Linked DNA regions of Arabidopsis thaliana. The main gene of each other region encodes a partner of the protein of the gene in region 2 in a complex. Links are inferred from orthologs where the notes say so. Each region holds a gene or a part of one and is shown on either strand. Other genes may lie near its edges. The genes, in order: MAX2 and AT3G03990.

Region 1 (5,105 bases), on a different chromosome or scaffold from region 2:
CAGGAACTCCTGAGTGGATGGCTCCTGAACTTATCCGCAATGAACCCGTCACAGAAAAAAGCGACATCTTTAGCTTTGGTGTTATAATGTGGGAACTTAGCACTCTATCCAAGCCCTGGAAAGGAGTCCCAAAAGAAAAAGTATGTTCGTTGAACATGAAAAACACTTGGTAACTAAATAAAAACATCGAATCTAAACCCGGCTCTTGGTATTTTTGCTTTCAGGTCATTCATATCGTTGCAAACGAAGGAGCCCGGCTCAAAATACCTGAAGGACCACTACAGAAGCTTATTGCAGGTTTGTGACTCCTCGAAACCTAACTGTTGCTTCTTTTGGAACCCTTGCTATATTTTAGTAAACAGATGCTTATGGAAACTTTGTCTTGTTATAGATTGTTGGTCGGAACCAGAGCAAAGGCCGAGCTGTAAAGAGATACTGCACCGTCTTAAGACCTGCGAGATTCCGATTTGCTGATTCTGTGAGTTGTTTGTTCTTTCTGTGTGTAATATGTTGAGGCATTAGTTGTGAGAAACTCATTGAGTTTGTACTCCAGATCTCTCCGGCTTCTTCATTTGAGTTTTATCATTTATAAAAATGGATTATTGTTTTATGATATCATTAATCATCGCAAATTATAGTCTTTGTCCTTTCCTCTTACAAACATATACAAAACACTCTTGACCATACAAATAAAATGGACCAGTTTCTGAAGTCAATACAGATATAATAGTGTAGGTAACTCACTCTTCAAGTTTCAGTCAATGATGTTGCGGCTGTTCAATTGGTCCTCGAATCGGCTACACGAACCAACTCTCATCTCTGTGCTCATATCGTTCTCCGGCGCCGGATAATAGTCTGCTCTAAGCTGTACATCCCTTAAGTTTGGGATTCTCAACAAAAAGTTCATGAAATGCTCATGAGCTGTTCCATGGATGAACAGCTTCCTCAAAGTCAGGCACTCTTGTAACAGACCTGCTCCAGGAAGCGAGAGACTCCTCTGGTTAACATCTCTATCCTGTGGTGGCCAATAATCAAGCTCGCTCAAGCTCAAGCTTCCAATTCCGGTCAAGAAGAATCTTTCCCATAAACTCAAATCCATCTGCATTGGCGGTGCGGTCAGTGCGAAACCGATTGTGTCCCCGCAATCTAACTGCATCTTTGAGAGCTTTGGGTAGAGAGCGAGACAACTTAACCCAAACTCTGGCTCGGCTGGCCTGCGTTTACCTCTGCAATCTCCTTCTATCTTGATCCTAATCTCTTCCAAATTCGGACAGTCATCTAGTCCTGTCATAGGTAATGGCGTCAAAAATTCTCCAACATTGATCCATAAAGATAGATACTCCAGTTTCTCCCATACTCTATCTTCAGAACAGAATCCATTCACATCACTAGTTGAGCAGTGTTCTTCCTCGAATGAATACTTGCACCTCTTCTGGCTCCTCTCGTAACCATCATCCTCCTCTTCGTGGTCAGCCTCACTAGTTTCCACTCTTCCTTCTACCTCCTCGTCCTCTGAACCAGACCACACACAGTCTATATGCAGTCTCTTGATCCGATCACAAATCGGCTCAATTGCCTTTAAAGAAGCAGCTGTGTCAAGATTCTTGCAGCAAGAGATTCTCACATCAGTCAAAGTCTTACTCCGAAGACTAACCATTGTTCTTAGTCCATCCACTGTTACATTCTCACACCCTTGAATCTCAAACGTAGTCAACTTACAACATCCTCTCCCTATAGCCACCAAACCCATATCAGTCAAATCGCCGGAATTCTTAATCGACAACGACTGCAATCCTCCACATAAAGCCACACCGTCGAGCCTCCTCCATTCTGTAGCAGAGCAAACACCTTGGAACTGTCCTAGCTTCAATACTCTTAACTTCTTGCATTTAGAATTCAATGCCTCTAAAGCTACACCACTATGCTTCACATCCTTTCCTACGTCAAGAACCAGCTCCTCTAGATTCGGTAAACCTGAGAAAACTTCAATTAGCGTCCCCGCCGTGACAGCTGAATCTCCAGCTTCCGTACCTGGAATAGCTCTAGGATTCGCCAACGAAGCTGTGTCCACCATGTGTAGAAGCGTTAACTTAGGGGAACTGGTAGCTACGGCGGAGAGAGTCTCGTCTCCGACGAATTCAAAGTATCTCGGATCAAACGTACAAGCTACACGAAAAGTCTTCAAATTAGGGCAAGATTTGGTGATACTAACGATTTCGCTTGATTTGTATCCCTCGGTGAACGACGCCGTCAAGAGATCTAACCGTGTAAGCCTCGCCGCCACGTCAGCATAGCGGAGAAGCACAGGAGGTAAGTCTTCAGTCCAGTGATAGAAGTTGGAGAGATCTAAAGACTCAAGGAAACCACCACAGTGTTCAAAAATAGGAACAAAATCGCCACCGGTAGGGATCTGAGAAGCTCGTTGATGCCATCGGAGGAGCTTGATGTGGCGAATTCTCGGCCATTGAGGAAGTAGAAGCTCGAGAGAGCTCGGAGATCGTGTGTAGACGTTTAGAGACTCGACGAAAGGGAAACAGAATTTGAGACGGAGAGCGAGAAGGTTCTGGTGATCGATTGGGAGAGAAGCGAGAAGAGTGTGACCCCATGGGGAGAGGAAAGAGAGATCGAGATGTGAGATTGATCGGAAACAGTCGGGGACGAGGGAGAGATCACGAGCGTTGCCACGGATAGTGAGGTGAGAGCGAGTGGATCGTTCGAGAGCGAGGAATTTGTGAGAGACGAGGGAGAGAGAGTTGCGAGCTCGGGAATCGGATACGAGAGAGGAAATGGTGGATAAGATGACGTCAGGGAGGTCGGAGAGAGTAGTGGAAGCCATGAGAAGCGGCAAATCTACAAGAGAGGAGATTTTAGAAGAAGAAAGAGGGAAGAAGGAAGAAGAAGAGATTTGTGTTGGGCAGAGAGAGAGCCACGTGATGATACTGACATTCTTCTTCTCTCTTCTTTTATGTTTTTTTTCTTTTTAATATAGATAGTACTATAATTCTTTCCTTTTTTGAGGTAATTTGATTGAAAAATCATATGTATTTAAATGATTAAATCTAAATTATCTTTGAGGTTAATTATATAAGAACATACGATGTCAAAAAAAAAAAAAAAAAAAATAGAACATACATTCTTTAATTAAGCCTACAAAATATTCATCCTCAAATTGTACTTTATAAATCCTTACTTTATCAAAATACTCATAACCAATAGATAATGGGATTGTGTTGTCATTGGTCAAAAAGATTGTTATGCGTACTTATACGATGATATACTATTTTGGAGAAACCAAAATCATAGTTGCATACCCTTTTTTCTCTATGAATGTAAATATCATTATATCACTAATCAAAATGAAAGGTTTAGGATATACGAAGTTGCATGCTTGCATGTAATGTCCTGACTATTTCATTTCGTTCGTGTGTTCTCATCAGCTTTTAGTTGTAATCTATGCATGTACTTTGGTATGATAAAGAGAGATTTACACATTAACCGACTCAAAAGATTTCGAAACTTTGATCTTCGAATTTGGTAATTACGGGTACATGTATGCTTTACTGTACATGCAGTATGTGTCATAGTTACTTAAGCTCCTTTCAAATGTTTTACAAAAAATACCTTATCTTTAAAAAAATTGTATGAGATAATAGATTTGAATCATCGCCATTGTCACAAGTTGACCAATACTTCATTTGGTAGAGGCACAGCAAATTTTGTTTGTGAGATCATTCGTATTATTATGGAATCGCCGTAACTTGACAATTGTTCTTAATCATTAAACAAATATACATATTTGATATTATATAATCAAATTGCAAGAGTCAAAATCAACCTATCCCTCTCTCTCCCTTATGTTCCCACTTGAATTGCATATTTTTCCTGTAAAGAACAATCCACCTTTTTCCCGTGCATGCATCTAACATTTGTTTATGTCCCTCAAGAATAATACCAACCTTCTTTGTTGATAGACATGAGCTTTAATAGGAAAATAACTAAAACTAAACACAACTATTTTGCAAGATTTAGAATTCAATAACCTTAAAATATTAAGAAAACCCCCAATATTAAGTTACTGACTGCAACAAGAGATGAAGTCGGAATAAAACAGCATCAAAAACACTGATTTGTGTCATGTACAGAAATGTATTTAAACTGCAGATAATTTTACTATAAGATCAGGATCTAGATAAATCCCAAACCCATAACATATATGTAAGAATATCGAGTCTTTTCCAAATTCATAATTGGAATCACGTAAGAATGCATGCAACAACTAAAAGATAAGCTGAACTTCATTTCCATTTTAAGAGAAATATAGATCCAATACAGTGAATCGATTCAGTTCAAAGAGTATTTAATTAGATACGTTTCCCGCTTAATAAGCGGCGCTCAGTCATGTTACAAATTAAATAAAATATAGGTTTTGATTATTTCTCCAACGTAAATACAATTTATATTTTCAAAATAGTGTTTAACTTTTAAAAAGCTTAATGGATAACTCAGTGAGCATAATCACGAAAGCAATAGTGAGAAATTTGCAACTAAATTTTATTTTTCGTTTTTCTCTTTTTCCTTACAAAGTGAGAAATTTAAGATTTGTAGGGCATGCATTATCTCTTGCCTACTCATCTTGCCGGTCACAAAAACACATACACGCATACATATACATGTGATTACACATGCGTCAACATATAAACGCGACTATGTACTAAATATATTCAAATCCACTGACCTATACCATGTTTTTGTGCCCATGCTTATAGACTGGCTGAATTAACTTGGGCATATATTTGGTTAATGTAATACAATATTATCTTATCAAAGTGAATATAATTCAATGAACCATGTATACAATTCAACCGTTTCAAACTATTTAGAGGTCATGTCAAATGCATTAAAATATTTTCTAAAAATTTTACAGATTAATTTCTAGTTGATATAAATATTCAAAAACATCCATAAAGAATGATTTTAAATTATTAGAAAAAAGGAATAAGTTGTACAATTTGTACTTGCTAAACTAAAAGACGTCTCATGGTCCTGGATCAAAGGCACTTAGTTGTGAGTAGGGAATTGTGAAGGAAGATGTCTTGAGTGACACT
Region 2 (4,140 bases):
ATCGAAAAGCGACTTTACCTGGCTCGGCTCTGAGATATCAGCCTTCACCACAATGACACGTGGACTTTTGCCGGCGACTTCCGCGTCCTTTGAACAGTTGGTGGTAATCGCCGTGGCAACCTTCTCAGCCTCAACGGGGCTAGTTGAGTAATTAACGACGACCCTAGCCCCAAGCTCGGCAAGGTGGATGGCTATGGCACGACCTATTCCTCGAGAAGATCCTGTGACTATAGCTACTCGACCGGCGAGGCAAAGCGGTGGAGAAGAAACTGATGACGCTGCAGCCATACTGTTAGGTAGATTTTACTATAAATTTACTTTTCTATATTTAGGGTAGAAATGATGACAACGTGCTAAAAGAGTGTAAGCAAGCAATTTGTAGTGGTGATGGTTAGATTTGTCTTATGCTGTCAAATTCGTAAGCAAATTGAATTGCTGAAAATGTTTTTAGATTTGTCTTAACCTGTCAATTCGTATGCATTTTGAATTGCTCAAAAGTTTAGATTGATAGGACGTGTTTTCGTTGTGTGATTGTCTTCTAGAATTCACACACTCACTTTCTCAAATCTTAACTTGTATTATATATAGCACGGTAACAACATTATACAACTAACCAATTTTATTAACTTTAAAATTATTTAGAACACACATGCATAGTTGCATACTATAAAACTTAAATCAAGATTATGTCAGCCATAGTTGCTTCATTTTAGTTGTTGATACTTTTACGATGTGATGCTAGAATTTTCTAGTATACTTTATATCTTTTTGTCTCCATCATTTTATTAGAGAAAACAATCGAAAGTGTTGAGACTAAAGATTGTTGTTGCATCGATGTGTTGTTAGACGTCAATCAATACAAGGTCCAGGAACTTACAAGAAACAACAATATGGATAGAAATATTCAGAGGAAAGTAAAAGATAAGATAGGATTTTTTAATGTTTTTTTTGGTTATTCTCCAATTATTTTATGAAATAAACTTGTGATTATAAACTAATGAAGAGAGCAAGAAAAAAAGTGATAAAAAAGCGAAAGTCACGTGTCAAGTGAACAATCTTATCTTACTAGATTTGTGACAATGCCAAACTGTCCTCCACAAATAGAGGCCCTTCTTTTCTTCGATACGTGGACCCCACTAAACCCATATTCCACCAATTATATTTTATTGTTCTCTTTTTATATCTATAAAAAAAAGTCACCGAGGAAGAGCTCGCCGGAGAAACTGAGCAAGCTGCGCCGGAGCACTAAGCTGCGGCAAATGTCCTTCAGTTTTAAGAGTCTCCACAGTAGTATCTCCACCGAGATGAGACCTAAGATACTCCGCCACCGAAGCCGGCACAGAAACATCCTTCGCCGTCTGAATCACACACGTCGGAACTCTAACTAACCCAAGCACACCTCTCAGATCGCTGTTGAAAACCGTCCTCGAAACAAACAGAGATATATCCGGACGCATATTAAACAAAGTCCGGCTAAATTCTCTAACCGCCGCCGGAACATCAGCTCCAACAGCAAGCGGAGCAAATCCATGAACCCAAGCTTCGTAATTAGCTTCCATAGCTGAGAAAACTTTCTCAATCTCACCTTCTTCGAATCCTCCATGATAATCCTCGTCGTTGAGAAACCTAGGCGAAAATCCGATCAAGATAAGCTTGGAGAAAAGCTCCGGCCGACGAATCGAAGCGATGATTCCGATCATAGCGGAAACAGAGTGACCAACGTAAGCACAGTTTTGGATTCCGAGTGAATCAACGATGTTGAGAAGATCATCGACGTAAGGATCGAGAGTTGTGTAACGATTGAAATCGAAGTAATCGGGGTTGACACTGCCGGCGCAAACTAGGTCATAGAGGACGACTCTGTAGTTTTGAGTGAAGTAAGGAAGGATCAAGTGCCAAGCTGATTGGTCAGTACCGAATCCATGGGCCAAAAACAGGATCCGATCACCCGTACCCACGACCCGGACATTTAGAGCTTCTAAGATGTTGTGTTGACTCATTTTTTTATGTGTTTGGGTTTGAGGGTAAAGAAGAGAGTTGGATACTGTTTATATAAAAACTTGTTTGGGTAGGTGTGTGTGTGTAATGAAAATTCCTTTATCATCTTTTTTTTTCCACTGCATTTATTATTATTATTATCCAATACTTTCGATTGGCTTTTGAAGTTTATGGATACAAGAGCATGCGTTGATTATTCGTCACACATCTGATATATTTTAAGAGATTTAAGATGCTTCAAGGATATTGTTTTTAGACTTTTAGGTGTTGTTGCACTTGCCATATTCTTAAACCATTTTTTTATTCTGTAGTTGTATTTCAACAAACGACGTTTATCCCAAAGATTATTCGAATGGTGGGTGATGATAAATTGAATTATATAAAACATAAAGTGGTTCCAATGAATGTGTCAGTACGAAGACACGAGTTTGTAAATTAAACATAAGGTTTTTAAGAAATTCAAAAGTTAGATGTCGACGACAACAACAAAAGGATGTCGACAAAAAAAGAAGAAGAAATTTGGATATATTTTTTTGGACATAGGTGAGTCACGAGTGTTTTATTAAGATGGTTAAGACATTTATTTTCAACCTCAGTGTTTATTATTATTATTATTCCAATTGAACCCAATGTTTTATTTCTAACAAGTTAACCCCTACATTTGCTTCTCAAGGTATCAGGAAGAGGCTCCTCTCAAGACGAACTCTTTTATACATATCCACCATTAACAGGAATGATTTGACCATTGACCCATTCACCACCGTCACCAGCCAAGAATCCAACAAGAGGCACCACGTCTTTGGCTTCGCCGACCCTCCCAAAGGGAGACTCTGCGGCTATCTTTTCCACCAACTCTGGGGTCTTTCCATCAAAGAACATCTCAGTGGCGATGGGTCCTGGAGCAACACAGTTTGCAGTGATTCCTGTTCCTTTGAGCTCTTTTGCAAGAATCTTGACCATAGTTTCCACAGCTGCCTTTGATGCGGCATAGGCACCAAACCCTGGCTTTAAAGATCGAGTCTGGGAAGATGTCAGAAGTATGATCCGACCACCACCTCCTTGTTTTAGCCTATTGGCAGCTTCCTTGCTACACAGGAACGCTCCTTTTGTGTTGACACTACACTCCATTTTAAAAGAAACAAACAGAGGATTATTGGAAACAAGAATGAAGGAACTTTAGTTGGAAATTAGACATACAAATCTCACGAACATGGAACATTGGATGAAACAAGAAACATAAGTCGATTAATTAGCCACAAGAACACGAGACATGTTGCATTTGACTCATAATTAGACATACAAATCTAAAGAACACGGAACATATAATTTCATGGTTCATGGAGAGTGAACAAGAACACAGATTCCACTAAAATCTCAGTTGAAATATACTAAAGGAATCAGCTTTCTAACTCAAAATCATAGAACATGTAACAATTGATCAAGAACTTATACATAATCATCAACCTAACTAATTAACAAAAAAAAGTTTACTTTTCCAGTATTGAGCGGGAAGACAAGAACCCAATCAATGAAGATAAATTCTCTAAAGGAATCAGCTTTCTATAACGAACCCAATCAACGAACAGTATCGAGTATATACCTGAACGTATGATCGAAATCTTCGACTGATGTGTCTGCGATCGTAGGGTACTTTGGATCGAGAATCCCAGCAGAGTTAACCAGAATGTGAACCGGCGCTTCAAAGGCACTCTCCGCCGCATCAAACATTGATTTAACCTGGCTTGGCTCAGAGACATTGGCCTGAACCACAATAGCTCTTGGTCCCTTTCCAGTGATTTCTTCCCTAACTGGAAAATCATTGATCTCCGACGCGACACGCTCGGCGTCTGCGGCTTTAGAGGTGTAGTTGATAACAATCCTCGCACCGAGTTCAGCTAAGTGGATCGCTATCGCTCGGCCAATACCACGGGAAGAGCCGGTGACAATGGCGACTCTTCCGGCGAGAGGAAGCGGCGGTTGCGAGATTGATGAATGTGTAGACATAACGATTTGAATTCAATGAGTCTTAGCAGTGATGTGATTGGAGTGAAGAAGATAAATTGGGATTGGCCCTCATTATAAGTTCATTCATATTGTTTTACAAATCAGCCCCTAACTTTATATTTTAACAAATTGACCCCT

The links.
Region 1: the proteins of AT3G03990 (region 2) and MAX2 are in contact, whole or in part, in a cryo-EM structure (PDB 8IF6), measured with the Oryza sativa proteins. The link is inferred for Arabidopsis thaliana from one-to-one orthologs. Residues at the interface, in NP_001404251.1 of Oryza sativa: Asn61, Arg63, Gly66, Ser67, Asp81, Ser83, Leu89, Arg97, Gly107, Ser108, Pro111, Ala135, Arg137, Pro211, Asp217, Pro219, Ala220, Val222, Gln223, Ser226, Arg227, Asn231; in NP_001411525.1 of Oryza sativa: Gly109, Gly110, Ser113, Ser115, Ser116, Ser118, Tyr596, Ala597, Leu598, Thr599, Pro601, Asp634, Asp636, Val637, His666, His668, Leu696, Met697, Thr699, Arg702.

Annotation. Positions count from the first base shown.
Region 1 is NC_003071.7:17,753,901-17,759,005, reverse strand, and holds MAX2 (RNI-like superfamily protein), read right to left. Parts: upstream 2,938-5,105; 5' UTR 2,837-2,937; coding exon 755-2,836; 3' UTR 538-754; downstream 1-537. Other genes in the region: AT2G42640 (Mitogen activated protein kinase kinase kinase-like protein), read left to right, coding at 1-140, 225-297, 392-474. UniProt on the Arabidopsis thaliana protein: Component of SCF(ASK-cullin-F-box) E3 ubiquitin ligase complexes, which may mediate the ubiquitination and subsequent proteasomal degradation of target proteins. Promotes the senescence. Is necessary for responses to strigolactones and karrikins.
Region 2 is NC_003074.8:1,031,648-1,035,787, reverse strand, and holds AT3G03990 (alpha/beta-Hydrolases superfamily protein), read right to left. Parts: upstream 2,210-4,140; 5' UTR 2,001-2,209; coding exon 1,197-2,000; 3' UTR 551-1,196; downstream 1-550. Other genes in the region: AT3G04000 (NAD(P)-binding Rossmann-fold superfamily protein), read right to left, coding at 1-288; AT3G03980 (NAD(P)-binding Rossmann-fold superfamily protein), read right to left, coding at 2,707-3,115, 3,599-4,002. UniProt on the Arabidopsis thaliana protein: Involved in strigolactone signaling pathway. Does not move long distances acropetally in the plant to regulate shoot branching and is rapidly degraded in the presence of strigolactones.